Oryctolagus cuniculus: one gene and its partners. The protein of the gene in region 1 interacts with the protein of each later gene in a pairwise test. Links are inferred from orthologs where the notes say so. Each region holds a gene or a part of one and is shown in the gene's direction. Other genes may lie near its edges.

Region 1 (2,900 bases):
TATCACCTGTTGCTTCCCAGGAGCAGAACCAGGACTGGAATCCAGATACTCCCATGTGGAATATAGGCAACCAGGTGGCTTTTTTCTTTTTTCTTTTCTTTTTTTTTTCTTCTTCTTTTTGAGAGACAGAGTTACAGAGAGGTCCTCCATCTACTCCCCATATAGCTACAATGACTGTAGCTGAGCTGGTTTGGAGCCAGGAGCTTCTTCCAGGTCTCCCACATGGGTGCAGGGGTACAAGCACTTGGGCCATCCTCCACTGCTTTCCCAGGCCACAGCAGAGAGCTGGATCGGAAGTGGAGCAGCTGGGATATGACCCGGCGTCCATGTTGGATGCTGGAGCCCCAAGCAGAGTCTTAGCCTCCTGTACCACAATGCCAGCCCCCATGTGGCATCTTAACTGCTATGCCAAGTACCTGACCCCCAAATGATGTTTATTTTTAAATATCTTTTTATTGGAAAGGCAGAGTTAGAGAGAGAGCTTGATGTTGTATCTGTTGGCTCACTCTCTGGATGGCCTCAATGATCAGGGTTGGGCCAGGCTGGAGCAAGGAGCCTGGAACTCATCCAGGTTTCCCCACATAGATGAAAGGGGCCCAAGCACTTGAGCCATCTTCCATTGTTTTCCCAGGCACAACAGCAGGGAGCTGGATCGGAAAGGGAGCAGCTGGGACTTGAATTGGCCCTCAAATGAGATATAGATATTGCTGGCAGTGGCTTAATCCACTGTGCCATAATAGCAGCCTCCACCCAGTGATATTTAAAGGGGTAAGTCCAGACCTATCATGTGACTTGGGGACTTCCCCTCACCCCACTAGGATTTTTGCTTCTAACCTGAAAGAACGCATGGCCCAGCGCTTCTACAACCTCGTCCTGCTCCCCCGCATACGAGATGACATCGCTGAATACAAACGACTCAACTTCCATTTGTACATGGCGCTCAAGAAGGCCTTGTTCAAGCCTGGAGCCTGGTTCAAAGGTGGGCACCCAGAGGCAAGGAAGGAGCGAGGGGCTGGAGCGCCTGCAGGTGAAAGCTGACCTGTTGCGGGAAGTGGGTGTCTCTAGTGCTGGCCCCTGGGGCTGGTGCGGGGGTTTCCTGGTGTACCTTCCTCTCACCCTGGGCTGGGAGTGACTACCCTCTGCCTGTCTCCAGGGATCCTGATCCCCCTGTGCGAGTCAGGCACTTGTACTCTCCGGGAAGCCATCATCGTGGGCAGCATCATCACCAAGTGCTCTATCCCTGTGCTGCACTCCAGGTAGTGTTGGTGGGGCTCGAGGAGGACTGCGCAGTGCACAGAGTGGGGTGGCCAGGACTTGGGGAGAGGGTAGCGACAGGAAAGAGTAGAACAGCTGTGGATTTGTGGCTGGTTGAAGCAGTGGGTGTGTCATTGCTTCACTAGAATGTAAGTTCCACTAGAAGAGGATCCCAGCACCTGGCATATGGCAGGTGCCCAGTAAATAGTGGAATGAGTAGGGCACACAGGGAGGAAGTGAGGTGGGGGTGCAGATGTCAGCATGTTTGGACATTCTAGTTGGATCCTGGGACAAGTGTCTAAGCCAGAGGTAGAGGTGGTAACTGCAGTCAAAAAAGGATGAAGTTGGGTAGGTGAGGAGGCCTGAGATGGCCCCCTTGGGAACACCATTGTTAAGGGCCAGCAGAGGGGAGAACCAGGCTCCCTCCTCCAGCGTTTCCCCATGGATTAACCCTACCACGCCACCCCTTCCCCAGCGCGGCCATGCTGAAAATCGCCGAGATGGAATACAGTGGTGCCAACAGCATCTTCCTACGACTGCTGCTGGATAAGAAGTACGCACTGCCCTACCGCGTGCTGGATGCCCTGGTCTTCCACTTCCTGGGGTTCCGGACAGAGAAGCGGGAGCTGCCCGTGCTCTGGCACCAGTGCCTGCTGACATTGGTCCAGCGCTACAAGGCAGATTTGGCCACAGAACAGAAAGAAGCCCTCATGGAACTGCTCCGGCTGCAGCCCCACCCACAGCTCTCCCCCGAAATCAGGCGGGAGCTTCAGAGTGCAGTCCCTCGTGACGTAGAAGATGTCCCCATCACCATGGAGTGAGGAAGACGGTCACCTGTCCTGGTCCAGTGGGCATGGGAGGACACCAGGTCCCCTGGGTGACTGAAGATGACACTGAGCTTTTTATGCCTGAAGACCAGGGCAGTGACAAGGTCACAGGGCATCTGTGGCTCCCAGGCCGGGCAGGGTGGCCTGAGAGTCTGTTTGGCTCCCTCCTCTCTTCTAGGCCTTCGTCCCTGCTCCCTTGGTGAGCTGATGTGATCCACAGCCCAGCATTCCCACTCCCCAGCTGGGGCTTGGTTTAAGCACACCTTCTCCGCCTGTTTTATCAAGTCACTGGGAAAAACAAAGACGGGTATTTATTGAACCTGCGTTCTGCTGCAGTTGATGAAGGTCTTTCTCCTTCTCTGTGGCTGGAGGTGGGAATTTCCTCTTCCCTGTTGTTGTCTCGGGAGTGGGATCTTTACTCAGTTTACACAGCAGCCGACCTTAACCTCCCAAGTGCTTCTCCAGGCTGCGTGCCTCCAGTAGCCCCCAGGGGCACATGCTCTGCCTTCCCCTTGAACGAATGACACTGTTTAGTTAGTTGGGTAGAAGGCCAGCCATGGGGTTGTTCAGAAAGTAGTGGTTTCTGGGCCATGGATGGAACAACTACAGAGGGGAGATGGGTCTGCAGATGAGGTGGGATCAGCACCAGATAGATTCCCTTCCTAGGTTTTAAGCCAATCAAAGCTTTAGGCCAAGGGCTGGTATTGTGACACCAGCATCCCACACTGGAATACCAGTTTCAGTCCTGTCTGCTCCACTTCCAGTCCAGCTCCCAGCCAATGTACCTGGGAAGGCAGCAGAAGATGGGCCCTTGCTACC
Region 2 (4,074 bases), on another chromosome or scaffold:
GCAGGGTGGGCCCTGTCCCCAGAGCTGCTGCACCAGTTAACCTTCCTTTGTTGCCACTGTGGACCAAGAACTCCTACCATCAGCCTCCTTCCTAAGCCAAGACACCTTTCTGGGGCTGGTCTTCCTCCTCTGGTGGCCAGCTCAGCCCTGCCACCTCGAGTCAGCCCAGGAGAAGTGAGTGCTTATGCGGCTTGGGGCAGTTATCCCACCTGTGGACTGTCCCTGGACCCCAGCTGCCGGCACAGCCCCCGCCAGCCTGGCCCCCGGGGTTGGCCAAAGTTCTTGCTTCAGCATCTGCTCGCCCCCACCCTCTGGACTCGCCTTGTGCAGGCCGGTCGCCCTGCATTTTGTCCTTAAAACAGGACGGGAAACGTGACGAGGCGAAGGCTGTGCCTTGCAGACTCTTTCCCCGCTCTTCCTTCTTCGTCCTGCCTCTCCACACCACCCGTTCTCCGCCCACTCAGGGTCAGAGCCTAGGAACTCCTCTAACTTCACCCTTGTCTGGGAGAAAGGTGAAGGAATGTTAGTAAATAAAAGAACTTTTGACAATCCCAGTGCGTGTGTTGGGCCCAAAGAAGACAGATGGTGCCAGCGACAGAGGAAGAAGGCCGTAGGAGAAAAAGCGAGAAAGCCACGTGCGGCGAGCCTGGTTCGCAGGGCAGGAGTCTGGGACACGTGTCGGGCCGGGCAGACGCTGCCCATGCTCTGCGGCTGTGGCTTTCTCGGTGCTCTGAAGTTTCCCTGGAGACTGACTGCCTGGTGCTCAAAATAGGTCTCTGGCTCTCAGGTCCTTTCCGCCTGCCCAGCATCTCCCAGTTTCCTAACAAACTGAAATTCCGTGGAGTGGCCCCAGCAGTGGGTGGGCGGGCCAGAATCCCACTCTCTCAGGACTGCAGCAGCCACTTGCAGCCTCCTGAGCTTCTTTCCCTAGAGTGAAGAAATGGCTGGGCAAGCACAAAACTGGGCCAGACGTGTTGGACGAGAGGCTGTCTCCCTAGTGTCCGGTGCCCTGTTCTGAACCACTTGGTCTTGGGGAGCAGGAGACTGTCATTGACCCTCTCCGAAGGTCTGGCCAGATCTCTCCTCCCACCCTGAGCCATGAACCATGCTGCCCCTCATACAGGCCGCTTTAGTCTGTGTCACTGTTCTGGACCCCAAGCCAGAGCACGGGGCCAGGGGCTCCCAGGAGCCTCTGGATGACTGCTGGCCCACCTTTCACCGTCAGGAGTGACGCTCACCCTGCCCTTGCTAGAGGGAGCCGCCCATCCCTGTGTGAGTCAGGGTCACTCACTGGGTGACAGCTGGGGCTCGCCTTACACGAGCTAAATCGGGAGCTGGAATGTCATGCAGATGCCCCTCTCTCCCCACCCCCACAGTAAAATTAATCTCCTCTCTGGGGAGTAAGGGACAGACAGTGCTGCCCACAGAGTGGACAGGAGAGAGTCGTTTGGGGGACAAAAGAGAATTTAGAGAAGGGGAGAGAGAGGCCGGGCAGGGTGCAGGGCAAAGAGCAGAGAGACCGAGAAGCGTCTGGAACCCGCGCCCTACGGACGGACGAGGCAAGTTGTGAGAGGAAGGGACAGGAGCTGTAGCAGAGCTATTTCCAGAGCGAGCAGCCGAAGGGAACAGAGCGTCTACAGACTGCTTAAGGGGCGCGAGGAAGGGTCCCGAGGCAGCGGGAGAAGGCCAGGACCAGGGCCGCGGCCAGGGCAGGCACGATCGCTGAAGGGATGAACTTCACGGTGGGTTTCAAGCCTCTGCTAGGGGATGCGCACAGCATGGACAACCTCGAGAAGCAGCTCATCTGCCCCATCTGCCTGGAGATGTTCTCCAAGCCGGTGGTGATCCTGCCCTGCCAACACAACCTGTGCCGCAAGTGCGCCAACGACGTCTTCCAGGTGGGCTTGGCGTGGAGACCCGGAAGGGGGTGGGCGGGGGGCTCCGGGAGGCGGGCAGTAGCTGTTGTGGCTGAAGAGGGGAGGAGCCGGGCTCCTTCCTGTGGATCCCAAGGTAAGCATGAGTCAGCAGCCGCCCAGCAGGCTGGCGGGTACAGCCTGTACTGGGGCAGCAGCCGGGAGGCCGGCTCCTACCCCCGGGGGCTCCGTGAGAGCCTGCGCTCGACTCTGCATTTCAGTCTGGGGCTTCGGACTTTGAGAACAGTGTGGAAAACCGGGAGAAGGAAAGGGTCAGTGAGAGAAGGAAAGAGTAACCCCCATGAGAAAGCACCGTCCTCACACAGAGTGGTTTGTTCTGAAGGCGAAGCCCAGCGAAATGAGACATGGCAGGTAGGAGACTAGGAACCGTCCCATCCCCAGCGTCAGTTCATGCCTGTGGCCCTCCGAACTGCTCAGCACGGAGGCCTCCCCTGGCTCGTACAGAGAGAAGGCGGAGAGGTTGTGTTCCCCAGCGTACACCCCAGCGTACAGCCAGGTTTTATTTACCGTGGTGGTGGAGCAAAGCATAGTGAAGCAAACTCACAGAAGCCATTTTAGTCGCAGGCTTCAAAAATACAAGGAGCACGTGCCAGGCTGGTCTATAAAGGGGCTTTCTTTTCTCCTTTTTTTTTTTTTTTTTTTTTTAAGATTTATTTGTTTATTTCAAAGGCAGAGTTACAGAGAGGCAGAGAGAGAGAGAGAGAGAGAGGTCTTCCATCTGCTGGTTCACTCCCCAAATGGCCACAATGCCTAGAGCTGGGCTGATCCAAAGCTAGAAGCCAGAAGCCAGGAGCCAGGAGCTTCTTCTGGATCTCCCACACTGATGCAGGGGTCCAAGGACTTGGGCCATCTTCTACTGCTTTCCCAGGCCATAGCAGAGCTGGATCGGAAGTGGAGCAGCCGGGACTAGAACCAGTGCCCATAGGGGATGCTGGCACTGCAGGCAGCAGCTTTACCCACTATGCCACAGCACTGGCCCTTATAGAGATGCTTTCTTGACCTATGCTGTTGGGGAAGGTTCTAGTAGGCTATTGGAACAGATCTCAGGGAACATAAGGGGGAAAACACCCAGAAATCTGCCCTTGCAAATGATGTAAAAACCCGGAGTAGACTTGAGCTGGATGGCTTAGCATGCGTGTCAGTGACATGGAGACCATGAACAAGTGTTCTTCATCTGCATCACAGGTTTGGAGAGAATGTATTGAACACAGGTTTTTTGTTTTTGTTTTTGTTTTTTAAGATTCGTTGTATTTGTTTGAAAGGCAGAGGGAGAGATAGATCTTCCATCTTCTGGTTCATTCCTCAAATGGCTGCAACAGTTGGATTTGGGCCAGGCCAAAGCTGGGAGCCAGAAGCTTCATCTGGGTCGCCCCCATGGGTGCTGGGACCCAAGAACTTGGGCCATCTTCCTCTGCTTGCTTAGGTACATTAGGAAGGAGCTGGATCAGAAGTAGAGCAGCTGGGAATTGAACTGGTGCCCATGTGGGATGCCAGCGTTGCAGGCAGTGGCTTAACCCACTACACCACAAAGCCAGCCCCAAACATGGGTGATTTTTAACTTAATCAAGAAAATGCTTGGCTTCTTAGGTTGCTTAGGGCAGCATGTTTGGGGGGAAAGAATGGGCCAAGCCAGGCCATCCCATGCTGTGCCTTTGACCCCCCTACTGTGTGTCTGTCCTGTGCCCTCTTTATGTGTGCCCAGCACCCCCAAGTCTCTCCTGCCATCTCCCCATTGAGGCCACTCCCACCTCCTATCCTTCTAAGTATCCAAACCAGCCATCATTGGCCCGAGAGTCTCACAGCCAGTAGCTTTACCCAGATCAGGGTTCCGGACCAAATGCTGTGCCTGCTCAAGTCCTGTGTGAGAAGCCACACCTTGCCTGCCACCTGGGTTTCTCCCTTGGACTAAGGAACTCCCTGAACACCTATCAGGCGAGATCTCTAGGAGGAGATGGCAGGGAGATTTGCCATCACTTCTCATGGGTTTGTAGTGAAGCAGCCTCTTACTAGTACCTAAAATACATAAAAGCAAAAAGGCTGGGAGGCACAGACAATGCAGCCTGTCGAATAGTGGTCATAGCATCCTTCGGCAGAGGGACCCAGGCCTGGGCGCCACACGTGGAGGCCAGCAGAGATTTGA
Region 3 (3,970 bases), on another chromosome or scaffold:
GCGCCGGAGCAGGTGCGGCGCCGAGCGGCGGTCCGAGCCCTCGCCCCTCCCGACCCCCCGGGAGCCCGCGGGCCTCCACGCCAACCTCCACCGCACGCTCCGAGCTGCATCAAAAAAAGGGTGGGGCTCCCAGCCACAACTGCAACCCGAAGCCGCCGGCCCGGGAGGACTTAAGAAGAATGGAACCGCGGCCCACCCCTCTCCCAGGGCGACCCCCTCTCCTCCCAGACCCCGATCGGCCAGTCCCTGACGCCCATCCACTTCCCAACCCCCGAGCCCGGGGAAGCGCGAGCAGCCTTTGTGGGCGCACGGCCGCCCACCGCCGCGCCCTGCGCGCAGAAGGGGCGGGCAGGGTGGGGTGCGCGTGCGGAGGCGGAGAGGCCGCGGTCGCGGCAGGGCACGAAGGCAGGCGCCCAGGCTGCAGGGGCGAGGGGCGAGCTGGCGCCCGAGCGCCCGCACCCACTTACCTCCCCGCACACACCCACCTGGTCGTAGATGTTCTGTAGGGCTTCCTTGCCCGAGGCCCGCCGTATCTCCACCTTCCTGCCGGATTCAACAGATGGCTCCCCGCCGGCGCGCCGGCCCTGCCGCGAGTACGGCGTCTGAGGGTCCGGGCCCAAGTGGGCGACGTCCCGCTGCTGGGCCACCACCTGCCCCGAGCCCCGGCCCACCGACAGCGAATCGAAGTCGATGGTCTTGTTCTCCGAGGACCCTTCCACCGGGCAGAACATGCCACAGAATTTCTGCCGCGGCTTGGGGCTGCCCGAGCCCAGATTTTTAAAAAAGGCAGGGACCTCTTCGTCCTCTGCCGCCTTCCCGGACTGCTTCCTCTCGGCCATGGCGCGGGGCTGGGGAGGGTCCCGTCCGTGCGTGCGTGCGCTGGTCCTTCAGGCTCCCTCTCCGCGTGCACAGACCGCGCTGCCGCTCTCTGCCCACCGCAAGGTGCACAGAAAGGAAGGCGGGCTGGCGAGCGGGCGACCCACCCTCCCGGCCCCGCCCCCTGACCCCGCTCTCTCCCCTCCCTGCCCACGCCCCCCGCGCAAGCTAGCGGCAAAGTTGAGTCTGGGAGGGCCGCCGCTGCGGCAGCCGGAGCCGAGACGCGGCCGGTTCCCGGCAACGTGGGGCGGGGCGGGGCGCGCGCGGGACCCGGGCGGGGGGGGGGGGGGAGGGCGGCGCCTCGCGGAGCCCCGCGCTCCGGAAGTGAAGCGGCCAGACCCCCGGCTAATGGATGCGGAGCGCAGGGCGCGCTCGCCGCTCTCGGCGCCACCGTAAGTAGCAGGCCGAGCACGCGCGGAGAGGACCCATGGGCGCAGCCCCGGCGCCCCGCTCCCCCGCCACATTGCGGAGTGGGTCGGGGGCGAGGCCGCAGAACTCTCCCCCCCGCCCCGCTCCGTTTTACCCGGGTGGGAGCTGGTGGAGGGGGAAGGGGCGACCAGCTTATTTAGGCACCGGGATTGTCACAGGGAAGGCGTGGCGGAGAGGGTGGCAGTAGGAGTGGGAAAGGTGTGGCGCAGGCGGCGCCGACCGCACCGGGGGACCCCCCAGGCTCGCCGACGCTAGTACTGCCGTGCACCGACGCCGAGGGGGGCGGCAGGAAGCAGAGACCCGCGAGAAGGTTCTCGCAGGTTGCACGTGGTGGAGGGTGCGGAGGCGCAACAAGGCCGGGAGTAAAGCGCAGGGGCGTTGCAAAGTGGAAGACGGGGTAGCGTAGCGAGACGCAGGTGGACGGTTTGTGTGAGCGTAGGCAAGACTGCAGCCTGCACGTGCCAGCCCAGCGGAATCTGCAGAGAGAGGTTGCAGAGTCGCTGTATTGCCTGAGGGCCGCCATGCCGCCTCTGCGCCAAGATTTGGTATCTTCCATCTCCCCCGCCAAAAAAAAAAAAAAAAAAAGGTGGGGGAGAAGCGGGGTGAGGGCCACTCCCTAAGCCTTCAGCCTGCTCCCGCATCCGGGCACTGTGTCTGTGCCCCCTCCCCTCGCCCCTGTTGGCGCAGTGCGCCAGAGCGGCGGGCGGAGGAGGTGCCTCGATCTGTGCGGCGCCCCGCGGAGACCAGGTGCGGACCGCGGCGCCGGCGGCGCGGCTCTCCGGGGCGCATGGCGATTCGTGTGGATGAGGCTGGCCCTGCCATGCTCGTCTCCACGGCCTTCCCCCGTTTCAGCCCCTCCTTTAGCAGTGTGCTGAGGGAGGTCGGCGCTGAGAGAGGCAGCAGACCACGGGCCCGGTGACCGAAGACTCAGCCCGCACCCCCAGAAGGATGAAATTAAACCACGCTTCCCCACAGGGCGAGGCCCGGTCGGTCGGCTGAATAAAGTTTGGAGGAGAACCAGTCAGTCTGTGGGGACGGCGTCTCCGCCAAGTGGGAGGGGCCGAGGAGCCAGGCAGGCATTTTGAATCCCCGCACCAGATGTGCTTTGCATTTGAATAAAGCGCTTCTCTCTGAGTTACATCATTTCCTACTCACCGCAGTCCTGGGAGAGGACGGGTTTTATCACCAGGGCTTTCCAGGTTAGGAAACTGAAATTCAGGGAGATTGGAGGCATGCTGCCCAAATCTAGTGAAATGACCCAGTAATAACAGTGTGGGGGGGGGGTCTTCCGGCTCCAACTGCGGGTGTGGTTCCCTGAAATGTGAAAAAACTCAAGAGTCGGACATTTTTTCCACATCCAGGGGTTTCCATCTGGGGCCCTATTCCACGTTAAATGCATTGCCCTCGCCATCTTTCTAATTGAGGGGCAAGGAGGGATGGCACTTGAGAGAGTGGTCCCAAGGTGACAGCTACGTGGGTCTTAGAGGTGTTGCTTTCTGAGCGTTCAAAGCCTTTCCTCCAAGGGGCAGGAAGGCCAGCCCCATGGTGTAGAAGGGAGAAGTTCATCATGGAAGAGCCAGGAGTCTCCAGCCCCCGGAGCTGCTCAGCGCAGACTTCCCTGGCACCTTCCAGATGGACGCGGTATGTCTGCCGCTGGTATAGCTGCAGGTGACTTCTGTGGCATCTGGACGGCTGATGGAAGTTTTCAGGCCAAAGAGGAAATGATCTTAGCTCCCTGACACACCCTCCCCAGTGCTGATGATCGCAGTCCACAAGCAACAGTGGTGGTCTCCCCAAGAGTGTATCATCATGACCATCCTGGTTTGTGTCAGTCACTCAGTGGTGTTCACCCAAGGTCCAGATCACAGTGCCTTTCTCTGAACAAATCTTCACCACTAAGCCGCACGTGACTGAGGGCATTAGGAACTCTTGCCTCCCCAAGTTCAACGCTGGGAAGAAAGTGTTGTGTTAATAACTTACTCTTATCAGCCCTAAAGGTGTTCATATCTGGCTAAAAAGCCTATGAGAGTATCTCAGGCATGGAAAGCCAAGACACTGTGGCAAAAAATGACCTAAGTAAAAGATCTCTGTGAGTGAGATCCCAGCGGAAAGAATGGGCCGTCAAAGAAGGAGGTACCTTTCCCTGAAGGGAGGAGAGAACTTCCACTTTGATTATGGCCTTGTCTAAATAAGATCAGAGTTGGCGAACTTAAGAGGCTTCCATAGCCTTGGCAGCTCCTGATGACAAGAGCCTTGGGTGACTACTGACGTCATAAATAAGAGTGTCAATTGTTAACAACAGGAGTCACTGTGCACTTACTCCCCATGTAGGACCTCTATCTTTAATGTGTTGTACTATGCGAATTAACAGTAAAACTAGTCTTCAAACAGTACTTTACACTTTGTGTGTCTGTGTGGGTGCAAACTGTTGAAATCTTTACTTAGGATAGAGTTGATCTTCGGTATATAAAGATAATTAAAAATTAAAAATGAATCTTCATGAAGAATGGGGTGGGAGAGGGAGAAGGAAATGGGATGGTTTGCGGGTGGGAAGCTGGGTGTGGTGGGAAGAATCACTATCATATAAAAGTTGTACTTTTGAAATTTATATTTATTAAATAAAAGTTTTCTATTAAAAAGAACTTATTCATAGCACAAAAAAAAA
Region 4 (3,500 bases), on another chromosome or scaffold:
ATGGCTGGCTGACATAAAATAGGAGTGTGAACCCTGTGCATAAATATGACTTCTCGGCACTTTCACACTCAGGAAACTAGGCCAGGTGGGGGGTGGGGCAGGAGGCCCCCTCCTGGCCGCCTCTCTTCCTCTCTGCCGCCTGTCTCTGGGTTTCTTTCCATGTCCTGCTCTCTCACGTTTCTCCTTTTTCTTTCCTCCTCCTCGGGCCCTTGCCTGCTGTTTGTCCGCCCCTCTGCCCACTCCACATGCCTCCCCTGGGCCCCGGCCCTCCGCAGGGAGGCACCGACTTGGAGAAGCTGCGGGACCGGCTGACGGTGGAGAATGAGCGGCTGAGGCAGGAGCTGCGGCGCTGTGAGGCCGAGCTGCAGGGGCTGCGGGCACAGCCGGCCGTGGCGGCGGCGGCAGCGCCCTGCCCGGGCTGCGAACACAGCCAGGTAAGCCGGCCCCACACCCCGGCCCCGGTCGGTCCCGGAGGGTCCAGCTCCTCCTCAATGCGAATGCAGCCCCTCACGGCGGCCCGCGCCCCCGCAGGAGAGCGCCCAGCTCCGGGACAAGCTGTCCCAGCTGCAGCTGGAAGTGGCGGAGAACAAAGGCGTGCTGTCCGAGCTGAACCTGGAGGTGCAGCAGAAGACGGACCGGCTGGCCGAGGTGGAGCTGCGCCTCAAGGACTGCCTGGCCGAGAAGGCGCAGGAGGAGGAGCGGCTCAGCCGGCGCCTGCGCGACAGCCACGAGACCATCGCCAGCCTGCGGGCCCAGTCCCCGCCTGTCAAGGTGAGCCTCACCTGCGCCTGGGCCCAGGGCAGGGCAGCCTCGAGAGAGGGGCGCGTCGTGGGGATAAAACAGGTGTGGGTATTTAATGGACTCGGTCCCGTGCTGCACTGGGCCTTGCCCCTTTCTGCAGCTGGCCAGGGCCGGAGAAAGTGTCCACACCCAGTGCTCGGGTGCCCGCGTGTGCCCTCTGGGTTCTGCCCTTCTCCTCTGTTCCGTGCCCAGGTGGGAGTCACAGCTGGGCTCGTAGCAGGCTCTCATTAAAATGAGAAGATTCCAGTGCGTTCTGGAAAGCCAGGACCCCAGGCTGCTCTCGCTTTTTTCCCCCCGGGGCTCTTGATGGGGCCCCTCGAGGCTCCCCTCCCGTGGTCACCTCCCAGGGCCCCACACGCCTGCCTTCGCCTTGCAGTATGTCATCAAGACGGTGGAGGTGGAGTCGCCCAAGACCAGGCAGGCGCTCAGCGAGTCCCAGGCCCGGAACCAGCACCTGCAGGAGCAGGTGGCCATGCAGCGGCAGGTGCTGAAGGAGATGGAGCAGCAGCTGCAGAGCTCGCACCAGCTGACCACGCAGCTCCGTGCACAGGTGGGTGGGGGCTGGGACGGCGCAGTGGCTAAGCATGCCGGGACGGGCCAGTGCCTTCTCTCCCTCCTGACCCTGTGACCAAGGGCAAGATTTGTCTCTGTTTCCTCATCTATAATGCGCTCTGCTCCCAGCGCCCACGGTGGGCCCTCTGGGACGCGACCAGCAGAGGTTCAGGCCCGGTGTGCTCCATCAACACCACGGGGCTCGGGTTCTCCTGACTCCCCCAGGGCCTGGCCCAGGCGGGGCTGGGGCCCAAGGCAGGGGGTGAGGGGTGGAGAGGTGGGACGGTGGTGGCAGCTACATGGAGTTCGCAGCCGTGGGCCCGGGAGAGAGAAGCCGGTTGACCCTGCTACCGCGTGTGCTTGTGCAGGAGGGGGGTGTGGTGTTGGTGAGGGGCGGGGCTCCCCTCCCTGTACCTTCCCCCACCACATTCCACGGCCCTGAGCTTCCTCATGGCCCGGCCGCCAGATTGCCATGTACGAGGCGGAGCTGGAGCGGGCGCACGGACAGATGCTGGAGGAGATGCAGTCCCTGGAGGAGGACAAGAACCGGGCCATCGAAGAGGCCTTTGCCAGAGCCCAGGTGGAAATGAAGGCCGTGCACGAGAACCTGGCAGGTGAGGCGGTCGCTGGAGCCCTGCCCGCCCCTGACCTCGCCGCGGCCCCTCCCACCCCGCCCGAGCCCTGCCCACCGCCCCCACTCCGCCGTGGCCCCTTCTACCCCGCCCGAGCCCTGCCCACCGCCCCCGCTCCGCCTTGGCCCTCCCACCCCGGCCGAGCCCTGCCCACCGCCCCGCACCTCGCCGCGGCCCCTCCCACCGCGCCTGAGTCCTGCCCGCCCCCAACCCCGCCGCGGCCCCTTCCACCCCGCCCGAGCCCTGCCCACCGCCCCCCACCTCGCCGCGGCCCTTCCCACCCCGCCCGAGCCCTGCCCACCGCCCCCCACCCCGCCGCGGCCCCTTCTACCCCGCCCGAGCCCTGCCCAACCGCCCCCGACCTCGCCGCGGCCCCTCCCACCCCGCCCGAGCCCTGCCCACTGCCCCCTACCTCGCGGCGGCCCCTCCCACCCCGCCCGAGCCCTGCCCACCGCCCCCACTCCGCCGCGGCCCTCCCTCCCCGCCAGCCTCACTCCCCTCGCGTCCCGCAGGCGTCCGGACTAACCTCCTGACGCTGCAGCCGGCGCTGCGGACCCTCACCAACGACTACAACGGGCTCAAGCGGCAGGTGCGCGGCTTCCCCCTGCTGCTGCAGGAGGCCCTCCGGAGTGTCAAGGCTGAAGTGAGTGCGGGGGCTGGGTCAGGGGCTGGGAGAGGCACTGGGGCCTTGGGGCAGGCGCAGCATCCACTCGGGACCGGTTCCCGAATTCACAGACACTTCCGCAGCTCCCACACGCTGGCCATGGCCAGCTATCTGACTGCAGGCTGTTCTGTTGTACACGTGTGACCGTGACCATAGACCTACTGCATGTTCTCACGTGTGCTAGGTTTCACTTTGAAAACTGGACTTAGAGGGTGCGAATAGCCCAGGTCTCTTAAATGCCTCCCACGTGCAAGCCCTTGGCTCCCTGAATTCGCCCGCCAGGGCTCTGCAGAGTAGACCGCGGGTTCTTCTGTCAGCAGTGCTGAGCGGTGCGCAGCTCGGGGAAAGTCAAAGCCTGCGGCAGGTGCCGAGGAGCCCCGCAGCCGCCCGCGTTGAGCCCGTTGGTGTCTGCGTCTCCCTTCATAATAACAAAGGAGGACACACGGGGTTGGGGCTTCCGCATCTCTTTCCCCCTCTGAAGTGTACCTGGGACCTGAACTCCACCACCTCGTAGTCTCGCGTTCGGTGGTGTCAGCCCCACGCTGCAGGTGAGGGGGCTGAGGCCGTTGTCTCAGGCGCCCCAGCTGTTCCGCTGGAGCTGGGATTTGTGCCTAGCTGAACGCTGTTGCCGTCGGGTGCTGGTGCTGCACCCTGCACAGGGCAGGGTAACTGGGAAGCAGTGGCTCAGTTTCTTCACCTGTGAAGTGGGAATGTAGTAGCCCCGCCACCCGAGGGGTCACTGGGAAAAGGTGACATAGGACAGCGCATGTCAGTCAGACCCTCAGCCCACAGCAGGATGCAGGGTGCACCCCTGGTGGGTGGGCGGTGGGGCGAGCCAGGCCAGGGAGCCG
Region 5 (4,156 bases), about 26 Mb from region 1:
TTCAGCCTGGCCCAGCCCTTGCTGTTGCGCCTGTTTGGAGAGCGAAGCAGCAGATGAAATATCTGTCTCTGTCCCTGTCTCTTTGAGAAAGAACTCTGGCTTTCAAATAAATAAATAAATCTGTAAAAATAAAAAGTAGTCTTCCCCTCCCCCAACACCTTCCCGGTTGTTCCAGGATCATTTATTGAACTTTTAGAGCCAATCTGATTTTTCCTCTACATGATACCAAATTCTTACCAACATTTTAGTCTATTTCTCAATTTCCATTCTGTCCCATCGATCTGTCAGCTTATTCTTACTTTAAGCACTGTACCTTTGCGGCATTCCTATTATTTTTTCAGCCAGATGAGAAGAGAGATAAGAGAGGAGAGAAGCTGCACAAATATGCATAAATACCTTAGGTCTAATGGACTCTCCGAACAGTATGGCCCCGCCCAATATTTCTACGTTTTTTGTAAGTGGGCTAGGGTTACTGGGGTCTGGAATTTCACAGACTGGGTACTCAGAGTGTGGTTCAGAGGACGTGGGCTTGGGGTTGGCATGTCCACTTCGCCTCTCGGATCCCTCCAAACAGAAGTTCCGGAAGCAGAGGCCCTACTGCTGAGACCCAAAACCACACTGAGAAAAATCCCAAGGAAACCAGCAAATACCAAGTAGGGATGACGGGAAATCCACTGTGTGATAAGAGAACAGACAGCCCGGGATTCCAAGACCCCGGGGCACTGTGGGATTCGCACTCTGAACTTCAGAAAGGAACAAGAGGTTTTCAGGTGCCGCTCAATACAACAACCCTACGCCGTGGGTATTTTGCGGTTTTCACGGATAAACATCCTTACGGCTCAAAAATTAAACGATTAAGTCTACCTTCTTGCTGAGGTATACCGATTCTGAGGCTCAGAATGGTAAAACACCTTGCATGAGCAGAGATAGGGAGTAGCAGAACTAGGCTCGCGGTTTTTCTCCCTGCGGAAATGTTTCAGAATGATAAATACACCCATTTTTCCCCCTAAACAAAACGGCGAGCGGCAGCAAATGATGGCTCTGCTTAACAAAGTGCGTCACGTACCGGATGCAGCTCAGTTTGCAGCCCCATCCGCTAGCCTCAGGGCCTGCGCTTCCCAGTCCTACACAAAGCCAGCCCTCTCTGGCAAGGGCTAAGGCCTGAGCGCCCAAAGAAAACCTCACAAAAGACCAGGGGTCCTCAGCGCCCGGTTCGGAGGTCCCGTCCCGACCCGTCCCGCCCTGGGGCGCGCGCCCAGCCAAGCCGCCCTCCGCGGCAGGAAACAGCTAGGCCCCGAGGCCAAGAACCGCAAGCCCCGCCCCACGCCGCCCCGCCTCTTCCGGTCGCGCCGGGGCGGGGTCTCCGCGGCCTGCGGGATCCGCTTGGACGCAGCCACGTTGTCCTGCGCGCCTGGCGCGCCTGCCCCTGTGAATCCGGCCCGAGGCGCTGCGCGCCTGGCCCCCCTACCCGCGTAGCCGCGGGGCTCCGTCGGGAGGCAGCCTTCCGGGCCTCGTTCAAAGGGTACAACAGGGCAGCGAGCTGCCCGGCCGCCGGAGCCTCCCAGGGAATCCGGGCCCGAGGGGCACCGCCCTCCGCCCGCCCGGCTCGAGCAGCGACCCGGAGAGAGCGCCGGAGAGTCGGGCTCCGCGCAGAGCTCGGCGCCGGGGGCCCATGCCCGTGCGCCCCCGCCAGCCCGCGCCATGGCCTCCGGGAGCGTGGCCGAGTGCCTGCAGCAGGAGACCACCTGCCCCGTGTGCCTGCAGTACTTCGTCGAGCCCATGATGCTCGACTGTGGCCACAACATCTGTTGCGCGTGCCTCGCCCGCTGCTGGGGCTCGGCCGAGACGAACGTGTCGTGCCCGCAGTGCCGAGAGACTTTTCCGCAGCGGCACATGCGGCCCAACCGGCACCTGGCCAACGTGACCCAGCTGGTGAAGCAGCTGCGCACCGAGAGGCCGTCCGGGCCCGGCGGCGAGATGGGCGTGTGCGAGAAGCACCGCGAGCCGCTGAAGCTGTACTGCGAGGAGGACCAGATGCCCATCTGTGTGGTGTGCGACCGCTCCCGCGAGCACCGCGGCCACAGCGTGCTGCCGCTCGAGGAGGCGGTGGAGGGCTTCAAGGTGAGGGCCCCCCCCGGCGCGCGCGCAGCGAGGCGGACAAAGGGAGGGGAGAGCCACGGGGGCTTCCCCTTTTTTTCCTTGCCTAGAAAATGGCTGAGCCGGACGTGTGGTTCACAGCCGTCATTTCCTCTCTGTCCGCTCCCGAGCCTCCGCACTCGGATTTGGAGGAAAACCTGTAGCTGCTGGGGAAGCCAGAAGTCGCCCCACCCCACCCCCACTCCTATCCCTGTGTTTCCCAGATCTCGGACGCTATGGACATAAAGACGTTCCCTGGAGCCCTTCCCCCACCCCCACCCGCAAACCCGACACCCTACAAGATGTGCATAAAGCTGTGTACACATCAATAGGCTCCTGAGACACTCTGCTCCCAAATTATAGAGGAAACCCGCTCGGACGGTGACCGCGGTGTCCGAGTCATCCGGCAGATGCCCGTCACTTAGTCTGTAAGCACTTCTTGTAAACCGTCTTGTTCTAGAAGCTCATGGAAAGGAACACATTTCTCCACTGCTTGAGTAAGGCATTTCGCCATCCTGAGACACGGGAGATAACAGGTATTATGATTAAGGGGATAAGAAGTGCAAAGCCTTTTGCAAACTGTTGAACCGACTGCGGCAGCAAAACAATAACACGGAAACAAAGTATCACGTGCAAAAGAGTTTTAAGGAGACATTCCAGGCGTCCTTGATGTTGTCTGTTTGCTATGTGTTTGAGGGCTACAGGATTATACCCACAGTTTTGTCCGTGTTTAAAAGTGAATGCATTTCTGCATAGTCACCTAACATGGAGCTTTTAACTGCATCATTTCACCTGCTCTCCTTGTAACTGGAATAGGCTGGGAAAGTGGTATTTACCCGTCACACATGAGGAGAATTAGAGAAGTTGCTTCATTTTCTCAGTGGACCTCTGTGGAAGGTCTACAACTTGACTTTAAATCTCCTAGTCCAGTCACCCTAATGCTAAACTGGGTAGAGGATTCATTTAAGAAATGCACACATTGCCATAGAAGAGAGGTGGTGGCCCCTGTGCTTTGAGTCTTCTGTGGATGGTAGTGTGGTCTGAACACAGGCTCGCACCAGGCACCTGGCATCAGAATTGTAGTTTCTGTCTGTGGGGAAGCAAAACAGCCATGGTTATACTATGGCCTGCCCAACTTTTTTTTTTTTTTTTTTTTTCAGGAACAAATCCAGAACCAGCTGGACCATCTAAAAAGGGTGAAAGACTTAAAAAAGAGGCGCCGGGCGCAGGGGGAGCAGGCACGCGCTGAACTCCTGGTAAGGGCTTTTGGAATTCCCAGATAATAGCGCTTTTGCTGGTCCGTGCTTCTGTCAAGCCAACTTGCTCAGTTCTTCCAGTTGCAAGTGAAACAACCCCATGTGGCAGTGGAAACTTAACCTGGAGAACCAAGGGGCTCCCCTACTTTTGGGGAGAGGGTGGAGGAGCTGTGCTTGGGAGTCATAGATACCTGCTGGATCAGTAAAGTTTAGCTTGTTAGCTGCTTGTGGGCCAGGACTGATGTTTGGCAGACTTGAGATAGGTGAAATTCTTGAGAATAGTTAGCTGGCATCCTGTGGTGCACTATCCTTCTCACAGGTGCTGGTGATGGATTTGTGTCAGCCCCACTGGTTGACTTTCTGGAGTGTTCATTCCCCTTTCTAAACAGAGTTTTTCGCTCTGTTTTCTTTGAGCAGTCTTCCAAGGCTTTGGCAGGAACCTGATGTGCTAATTCTGATATGGGTATTTTGGAGTTTTGTTTTAGAAAAACAAAAAGTACAGAGGGTTTTATCATATACACTTACATATTTACCACCTAAGTGTTTACAATGTGAGTGGAATAGATAAAATGTTACAGACCTCTAACCATTAGAGGTGTTTGCATCTGAAAAGCAAACTCCTAGACTAGCAGTGTCTGGAATCTTGAGAGAAATTGTGTCAGTTCTAAGTTGTGTCCCTTCTAAGCAGGGAGCTCATTCCTAAGGTGTCCTTAGATTCCACCACTTGCTCTGCCCACACAATCTGCTGAGACCACAGTTCCCCT
Region 6 (4,003 bases), on another chromosome or scaffold:
CTTGTGGCTCCCCACGTCACAGCAAATACTACTTGAACTTTGGTAATTGTGCTCCTCCAAGGCCATGCGCTTTCTGTGTTTCTGCACCATTGCATCCCTCATTCTCTCCGGAATACTGTGACTGCATTTCTCCCCCAGCAAACTCCACTCATCCCTTGCATCAACTCCTCTGGGTGGTCTTCCCTGACCACTCCTGAGAACAACTAACCAATGTCTCCTCAGAATTCCCCTCCTTAAATCTATCACAGCTTCCATCAAACTGTATGCGTTTATATATTTAATCGTCCCTTTGCCAATCTGTTACATGTGCCTTGGTACCTTGCAATGTGTTTTTGTCTTTGTAACCCTTAGCACTGAGCGCATTGATTGGAACATAGTGTGAGTAAAATAAATATTGGCTAAATGATTACATGCAGACTGTTCTAATGTCTGTGTGTTTTTTTTTTTTAACTTTCTCCTAATTTCTTATCTTAGTTCAGGAATACGAAGTTTTCTCGCTACCATCCTCACTTCTGAAAATTTTTCCTCTTTTGAATTTCTTTAATATTTAAGGCTCGGGATCTTGCACCAGCCTAGCTGCTTTTCGGTAGTGCCTCGAGACGACTCGTTAGCCTCGCATTTTATCAGACTCCGCTCAAGGCGACAAGCTCCAGTCTCAAATATCCTATAGCGCAGAGACGCTGACGAGAGTCCGTGCGTGCGCGCCGACTGGCGCTCAGCGCCTGCGCGCCGGGCACTTTTTGCTTTTCGACTCTCCCTTTTTTTTTTTTTTTCCTTGGGAGCGTGCGCACCAAGACAGACAAAGGTGAGGAAAGTGACCAAGCAGTCATGCAGGCGCATGCCCACCCCGAACTTGTCCGAGCGCGGCGGCTCTCCCGGGGCGCAGAGGGTGTGGTCTGAGCGCGAGCGGCCGAGGCCCAATCCGATTGCGCGAGCTCGGCTCCTCCCTCCCCGCGATTGGCTAGCGCCGAGTGTTGTGGGGCGGGGAAAGGAAGAGATGGGGGCTGTGGAGGGGCGGGTGGGGAAGAAAGAGGGCTAATCTCGTTCTGCGCAAGCGCAAGGAAGCGACCACGAGAGGGCGTGAGAGAGCGAAAGGGAATGTGGAAGCCCTGATGCGCTGGCGAGCGCGAGCTGGGTCGCCGGCCTTGACGCCTGCGCCGTGGGCCTCGGGGTCCCGCGCGCGGCGGGCGGGTGCCCGGTGCGCCTGCGCAGTAGGCGGCGGCGGCAGGGGGAGGTGGAGGCCGTGGAGCGGCAGCGGCAGCAGCGGGTCCCGGGACTGGGGCAGCAGCGGGGGCGGCGGCGGGCGGAAGCTGAGGTGACGAAGGCAGCGGCGGCGGCGGCCGTTTCCCTCACGGTGGCGGAGACCAAGGCGGCGGCGGCGGACGGGGAGCGGCCCGGCCCCGGCCCCCTGCTCGTTGGCTGTGGCAGGGCCGCCGTGGGGCCGGCCCGGCTCCCGCCCCCCGCGGCTCCCCCTCCGGCTCCTCCTCCGGGGAGACGCCGGGGGCCTGGCCCGGCCCGCACTCAGACCGCTGCTGCAGCCGCCGCCGGGGGCGTCGGAGGCGGCGGCGGCGCCATGGGCGGCCTGGCCTCTGGGGGGGATGTGGAGCCGGGACTGCCGGTCGAGGTGCGCGGCTCCAACGGGGCCTTCTACAAGGTGAGGCGGTGCGCCGGCCGGGGACCCCGTCTTTAGCTCCCGGAGCAGGCAGAGCGGGGCGGGCCAGGGTTCTGGAGCTGAGTCCTGACCCGTAGAACCTTCGACCCATGCTCCCACCGCAGCCCTCCCCGGGAGACTGCCGGGAGTTCGCTCTCTTCCTCCTATTTTTGACTCCGCTCCTATACCTGCTTTTACCTTCAGCTCAGAATAGAATCGGGGCATTGCTGTGCCTGGATCGGCGCTCCCGGACCCCCAGGAGAAGTCTCTTTCCTCAGCTTAATTGACTTTTCCTGTTTGCTATTGGAAGCCGTACCTTAGGCCCTTAACTCGCTGTGCCACAACGCCCGCCCCATACCTTAGCCTTTAATCACCTCTTCCCCGCGGTCCAAGCACATGGACAATTCTTTTCTTCTCCCACATGACCCCCTTGGGAAGGCCCTCTGTCCCATATTAGCTCCTTTATCCTCAGAGAGGCCTCTGCCTACTGGCTCTGGAACGCTCACCCCACTTTCGCCTTACATTGCCGTTCCCAACCCAAGGAGAAACGGTCAACATCCGTTTATGACTTTTGGCATCTCTGGCCTCAGGTTGTATCAGTCATGTTGCCTTCCAGCCAGTGGCCTCTGCTCATAAGTCTGGCACCCCAGCCCCCCTTCAGTCCCGGGCCAGCCCGGTGGTCCACCGTTCTACCCAGGGGAAGGTTTCTGTTTGTTATCGTGCCTTGACCTCAGATCCATTCAGGTCATTCATACAGCTTCTGCATGTTGATGGTAAGCTTCATATGCATAGTGTCTAAAAGGGAGTCTCCCCATGAGCCCTTCCATTTCTCTTTTTAAGGATTTCCACTTCTAGAAGACTTTTGGCCATCTCTCCCAGTTCTGGAATCCTGCAGCCTGTTTTTGGAAGGAAAAGGGGACTATCCTTCAAAGACCCTTGCTTCTTTCAGCTCCCTCCTTGCCCAGGATTGGTTTCCTTAGGATTCTTTTTACTACTGCTTTATTTGTTTAGAACCCATTTTCTTGAACTTTTTGTCCCCATTTAGATGATGCCGTACAGAGAGAGACCTTTTTAGCCACTCAAAGAATTTTTCTTTGTGTGATTGTTGCTAATCCTAACCTCTTTGGGACTTTGTGTCTGGAATTGTCCCAGAGATTTTCCTGATTCCTGTCTCATTTCATCCTGAGGAGTCGCAAGAGAGAGATCTTCCCAGGGCCAGCTCTCCTTCAGTTCCCTTCTGGTCTTTCCCCCCTACAAAGACCTCTCAATCTTCCCATGCCCTTGGAAGTGGCTTGAGCTGATGACTGTGAAGTCGTCTCTTACTACAGCTGGAAAGGGTCTTGCCCTTGGTTGGAGTGGATGGTAACTGCCTGCACTTCAGTTGATAAGCTCATTGTAGTCATTTTTTACTCTCTGTAAGTACCTATTCACTCTTCTTTGCTTCCTTTCTTCTCCAGATTGCTGTATATCTAGTGTCTGTTCATAACTCATCCTCTCAGTTCAAGTCTTTGGCCTTTTATCCTAATATTTCTATAATCCCCAGGAACCACCTTATTACACTTCTAGCTGAAGGAAGCTCCCAGCTGATTGCTTTTGTCATTTTTTGCATACTTTCCTAACTCTTAGGACTTTTTCTTCATTTCTGTTTTCTTTGGCAAAACGTCTCTAATTCCTTTCTGGTTCTGATAGAGCACATTTGCCTCTTAACATCCTTTCCTCCAGTCTTGCATTACCTTTGTTGAAAACCCTGCCTCATAAGATGTTAGCCTTGTTTATCCCAGTGTCTTGTCTTTCATCTGAGTCCTGCCCACCCCCGAGTTCTGGAGTCCAAGAGAAATGATTCTTAAATTGAGTTTGAGATCAAGATAATGATGTTTGCTTTTTTTCTAGGAAGCATGACAGCCAGGCACAGCTGGGAAAGAATGGTACCCACTTCACAGTAAATGTGTGAAACAGCTGGGAAGGGCCATCTTTCCTGTAATCCACATCTAAGTGTACAACAGGAAGTCTCTGACTTTCCCTTTTTGCTCTTGGGCTGTGGCCATGAGTGACTTGAAGAATTGGGGCACAGAATACTTTGAATCAGAGTAGAGTTTGGAGTTGAACTGAAAGTGAGGTAATGTGGATTTTGTGTTCTGGCAACATTAGCATTTTTTGTCCCATACCTAAGGTAAAAAAACAACAAAACAAATCTCTGAATTGAGACTAATCTTTCTTCAGCTCAGTGTCATATAGATATTTATCCATGCTGACCTTGCTGCTGATTTAATTTAATATTCATGACTCAGCAAACTTTAGTGTAGGTCAAGGAGCATTCCTACTGCTTCTGGAACTATAAGTTTGGGAAGCTGC
Region 7 (3,500 bases), on another chromosome or scaffold:
GAGGATAGCTCAAAGGGTGAGCAGATTAAGGGGAATCATGAATGAAAGGCATATAGGTGATGGCTGTTGCTAATTAATAGAGCCTCTGGGGTTTTTCTGGTTGTTTGTACTATCACCATCCTCATCCTCATCCTCACCATCATCGTGCCACTCATGGACTGCTGAGTGGCCCCCACTGGCCGAGGCTGCCAGCTGGATCTCTGTGCCTCTTAGTCTGACAAGTAGAAAACGAGCCTGTTCTGATGGCCACAGCACTGTCCTGTGCCCTGTGACTGCTCTGAGCGACTCTGTTTGGATAGCAGTGAACGAAGCGAGAAGACTCAGCTTGGTGCCATGGATCCATCGCGGGCGGTGGAGGCCTGCTGAGATTTCCTTGTCTGCTTTTTAATGCTGGGGAAGAGACTCAAAGTCTTCCTCGTCTAGACAGCACTGATGAGGTTGGGCGTAGGAGCCACGCAGGACACGGTTGAGTGGATGGCCACGTTCGGAACGTGGCTGCAGCCTCACTGGGGCCGTGATTTCCATGCGCCAAAGCTGTTGTGTTTAATGGCACTGTGGGGACTTTTATTTCTTAAAACTGAAATGGAAGTAGTTAGAAGGTGGAGGAGGAGCGGGGGAGGAGGAGCCGGCCCTGGGGGGTTTGCAGAGTTCTCTGCCAGAAAGCGGTGCAGCCAGGCTTCATAACGCCAGTGCTGCCATGTGGAGTCCCAGAAGTCACAGCGCCCTCTCCTGCTCTTCCGTGGGATGAGGCGCGTGGTTCCTGGGGTCCCCCAGCCCCTGTGTGTGACGGAGATGGTGGTGGTGGGTGGGGAAGCCGGGGGCTTGTGGCGTACATGAAGCATGTGGGAGTGACGCTTTCCCTGGGCGTCAGGGGAAGTCACTGTGGAGCATCCTTTGCCTGCCAGGTGATGCGAGTCCTGGCTGCGGTTGAGGGGAGGGCTCAGCACAGCTCTGTCTGCCCTGGGCCGGGGACGGGGCTCAGGGTCGGGGTCTGGGCAGGTGCACCTTCAGCCCTTTAACCTCATGTACGGGGCTGCCCTGTTGCTGGCACCAGCAGGCAGAGGGTCTGACAGGGAGGATGGGACCGTGGCTTGGCTCCTATTGGGGATTTGTCACCAGCCCTGAAGCTAGAGGAAGCTGGCAGAGGGAGGCAGAGCCAACCGGAAGTGCTGGGGTGTGGGAACCAAGACTGGAGAGGGGAGACCACCTCAGAGGCTAAACAGAAGAGTGTGCATGGCACCCAAGGGCACTGGGGGGTCTAGTGAGGGTCACTGGGGTCAGGTTTTCCTGTTCCTTGGAAAGAGGAGCCCGGATGCAGCTTGGGGCCAGCAGAGCATCGCGCAGTGCTGGGCTGGGAAAGAGCCAGCAGGGGGCCTGAGCCCAGGGAGGGGAGGGGACCCCGGGGTCAATCCCAGCTTCCTGGGACACGAAGGAGGCAGGATTTGATCACTGGCTCCTAACTGGGGAGGGATCCCCAGGCAGAGAAAGGAGCAGGACGGGGAGAAGATTCCTTGCTGAGAGCTGGTTTTCCTTGCCCCTGAGTAGCTGCGGTTCTGCAGTCAGGGCTGATGCTCCTGGGCTGGCCAGCTCCGTCCTGATTGTCTGCATCGCTCAGCTGGGCCTAAGAATTCCCCCATCAGCACTTCTATGTCTGCTCTGGACACCGCACCAAGGAGGGGCCAGCTAGGGTGTGTTGGGGGCATCTCTCCCCACCACGCAGATGGGGACCCCCCACCATGACCCATGGGAGACCCTCTCTCTGAAGAGCCCCAGGGCGAGCTGGCTGGCCCTGACACCCCAGCTGCCCAGGCGGGGCTGGGTGTGCACAGAGGCCCCCATCGGGCACCTCATGGCATTCCTTGCAGGACCAGGTGGACACGCTGACCTTCCAGAGCCAGTCCCTGCGAGACCGTGCCCGGCGCTTCGAGGAGGCTCTGAGGAAAAACACGGAGCAGCAGCTGGAGGTATTCCAGGTTCCCCCGGCCTCCCAGCCCCACTGTGGCCAGGGCCTCCTCAGCCCTAGACAGCTGGCCACGCCCTCCCCACACAACTGCTGTCACCACTTGTGCCCAGGACACACCAAAGCTGTGGCTTCTCCCGCTACCCCAGACCCCTGAGCTCCTGGCCTAAGCAGAGTCTGGAAGGTTCACCATGGCCTCAGCTGCCTCCATCCCACTCCCTCCCAGCTTCCCTTAAAGCTGCTCAGGGCAGCAGTGGCACTGGCTTCAGCGTGATTTGTGGGTGGAGGGGTTTCTTCCATTAAAGCTGGCAAAAAGTCCTTCCCCTAGTGCCAGGTTGCTGGGTAAAACACATGACCCCCAGGTCAACTTGAAATACAGATAAGTGAGTTTTCGAGGATAAGTATATGCCAGGCGATACTTATACTAAAGTTTCTTATCTGAAATTCACAGATAATGAGAGGTCCCGTGCTTGTATTTGCTACATCTGGCAACCCTGCCGCACCAAGTCTTTCTCTAAAATGACTTTTCTGCTTTCTTAACTACCTTGCTCATGTCCTATGCATGGGGCAGGGTCTTTCTACTGGCATGAGGGGGCGGGGGGGTCCTGCAAGATCACTCGCTCCCTGGTGAATCAAGCGTCTGGGTGGGTGTTACTCTTGCATCTTCTTGATTTTTTATTTATGTAAGAAGGAGAGAAACAGGCAGAGCTCCTGGCCAACTAGTTCATTCCCCAAATGCCCGCAGTGGCCAAAGCTGAGAGCTGAGAACTCAAGCCAAGTCTCCCACGCTGGCGGCTCCCCCTCTCCCCCTCTCTCCCCCTCTCCCTCTCTCTCCCTCCCTCCCTCCCTCCCTCCCCCCCCTCTTCCTTGGTGTTGCAGCTGCCCATTGGGAAGCTTGCTAGTGATGGCCAGATTTACCCAGATTCAAAATGTGAGCTTCTGCCTGGACGTGAAGTGTGGCGGCAGAGTGACTAAGCAAATGCATCCTGTTCTCCTGCAGATGGGTAGGATCTTAGTAGCTGAGTGACGCCCATCCCATGGTGGGTGCACTGGCAATTTGTTCCCGGGACTGGGAGGAAACGGCTCATTCGTTAGCCAGGATCGTCCGCTTCCCATGGAAGAGCCGACAATGACCGCTGGGCGTGACCCCTTATTGGTCGTCGGCGGCACTGGGCCCTCCCCAGACCTGCAGACGCACGGTGTGGGTTAGTACTGGGCTTTGCCAGGACCCGGCATGCAGCTCGTTGCTCCGCCTGCCCCTGTAGATCGCCCTGGCCCCGTATCAGCACTTGGAAGAGGACATGCAGAGCCTGAAGCAGGTGTTAGAGATGAAGAATCAGCAGATCCACCAGCAGGAGAAGAAGATTCTTGAGCTGGAAAAGCTGGTGAGCTGGTGTTTGCCCAGGGGAGTGGGGGCCACGGGGCCCTGTCCCTGGTGCAGACACCTCTGACTGTTATTAGAGGCAAACCGGGGTATAAGTGTCTGCCTCCAGCACCCTGGGTGACATGGGCCTCCTGGCACCTTTCAGACCCTCCCGGG

What was found.
Region 2: the proteins of BYSL (region 1) and TRIM54 interact in binary tests that used the Homo sapiens proteins (3 or more experiments, as listed by UniProt). The two-hybrid records come from large-scale screens. The link is inferred for Oryctolagus cuniculus from reciprocal best matches to the Homo sapiens genes BYSL and TRIM54.
Region 3: the proteins of BYSL (region 1) and PNMA2 interact in binary tests that used the Homo sapiens proteins (3 or more experiments, as listed by UniProt). The two-hybrid records come from large-scale screens. The link is inferred for Oryctolagus cuniculus from reciprocal best matches to the Homo sapiens genes BYSL and PNMA2.
Region 4: the proteins of BYSL (region 1) and KIFC3 interact in binary tests that used the Homo sapiens proteins (3 or more experiments, as listed by UniProt). The link is inferred for Oryctolagus cuniculus from reciprocal best matches to the Homo sapiens genes BYSL and KIFC3.
Region 5: the proteins of BYSL (region 1) and TRIM27 interact in binary tests that used the Homo sapiens proteins (3 or more experiments, as listed by UniProt). The two-hybrid records come from large-scale screens. The link is inferred for Oryctolagus cuniculus from reciprocal best matches to the Homo sapiens genes BYSL and TRIM27.
Region 6: the proteins of BYSL (region 1) and FXR2 interact in binary tests that used the Homo sapiens proteins (3 or more experiments, as listed by UniProt). The two-hybrid records come from large-scale screens. The link is inferred for Oryctolagus cuniculus from reciprocal best matches to the Homo sapiens genes BYSL and FXR2.
Region 7: the proteins of BYSL (region 1) and MTUS2 interact in binary tests that used the Homo sapiens proteins (3 or more experiments, as listed by UniProt). The two-hybrid records come from large-scale screens. The link is inferred for Oryctolagus cuniculus from reciprocal best matches to the Homo sapiens genes BYSL and MTUS2.

What each region holds. Positions count from the first base shown.
Region 1 is NC_091436.1:127,974,015-127,976,914, reverse strand, and holds the end of BYSL (bystin), read left to right. Parts: intron 1-818; coding exon 819-979; intron 980-1,153; coding exon 1,154-1,256; intron 1,257-1,729; coding exon 1,730-2,075; 3' UTR 2,076-2,400; downstream 2,401-2,900. UniProt on the Homo sapiens protein: Required for processing of 20S pre-rRNA precursor and biogenesis of 40S ribosomal subunits. May be required for trophinin-dependent regulation of cell adhesion during implantation of human embryos.
Region 2 is NC_091433.1:175,699,524-175,703,597, reverse strand, and holds the start of TRIM54 (tripartite motif-containing protein 54), read left to right. Parts: upstream 1-1,274; 5' UTR 1,275-1,730; coding exon 1,731-1,898; intron 1,899-4,074. UniProt on the Homo sapiens protein: May bind and stabilize microtubules during myotubes formation.
Region 3 is NC_091433.1:47,729,334-47,733,303, forward strand, and holds the start of PNMA2 (paraneoplastic antigen Ma2), read left to right. Parts: upstream 1-1,170; 5' UTR 1,171-1,268; intron 1,269-3,970. Other genes in the region: DPYSL2 (dihydropyrimidinase-related protein 2), read right to left, coding at 486-839.
Region 4 is NC_091449.1:41,234,508-41,238,007, reverse strand, and holds part of KIFC3 (kinesin-like protein KIFC3), read left to right. Parts: intron 1-275; coding exon 276-434; intron 435-531; coding exon 532-771; intron 772-1,177; coding exon 1,178-1,351; intron 1,352-1,819; coding exon 1,820-1,967; intron 1,968-2,497; coding exon 2,498-2,628; intron 2,629-3,500. UniProt on the Homo sapiens protein: Minus-end microtubule-dependent motor protein. Involved in apically targeted transport. Required for zonula adherens maintenance.
Region 5 is NC_091436.1:154,135,823-154,139,978, reverse strand, and holds the start of TRIM27 (zinc finger protein RFP), read left to right. Parts: upstream 1-1,356; 5' UTR 1,357-1,701; coding exon 1,702-2,121; intron 2,122-3,296; coding exon 3,297-3,392; intron 3,393-4,156. UniProt on the Homo sapiens protein: E3 ubiquitin-protein ligase that mediates ubiquitination of various substrates and thereby plays a role in diffent processes including proliferation, innate immunity, apoptosis, immune response or autophagy.
Region 6 is NC_091448.1:52,173,967-52,177,969, reverse strand, and holds the start of FXR2 (RNA-binding protein FXR2), read left to right. Parts: upstream 1-1,203; 5' UTR 1,204-1,573; coding exon 1,574-1,654; intron 1,655-4,003. UniProt on the Homo sapiens protein: mRNA-binding protein that acts as a regulator of mRNAs translation and/or stability, and which is required for adult hippocampal neurogenesis. Specifically binds to AU-rich elements (AREs) in the 3'-UTR of target mRNAs.
Region 7 is NC_091440.1:85,074,682-85,078,181, reverse strand, and holds part of MTUS2 (microtubule-associated tumor suppressor candidate 2), read left to right. Parts: intron 1-1,865; coding exon 1,866-1,964; intron 1,965-3,225; coding exon 3,226-3,345; intron 3,346-3,500. UniProt on the Homo sapiens protein: Binds microtubules. Together with MAPRE1 may target the microtubule depolymerase KIF2C to the plus-end of microtubules. May regulate the dynamics of microtubules at their growing distal tip.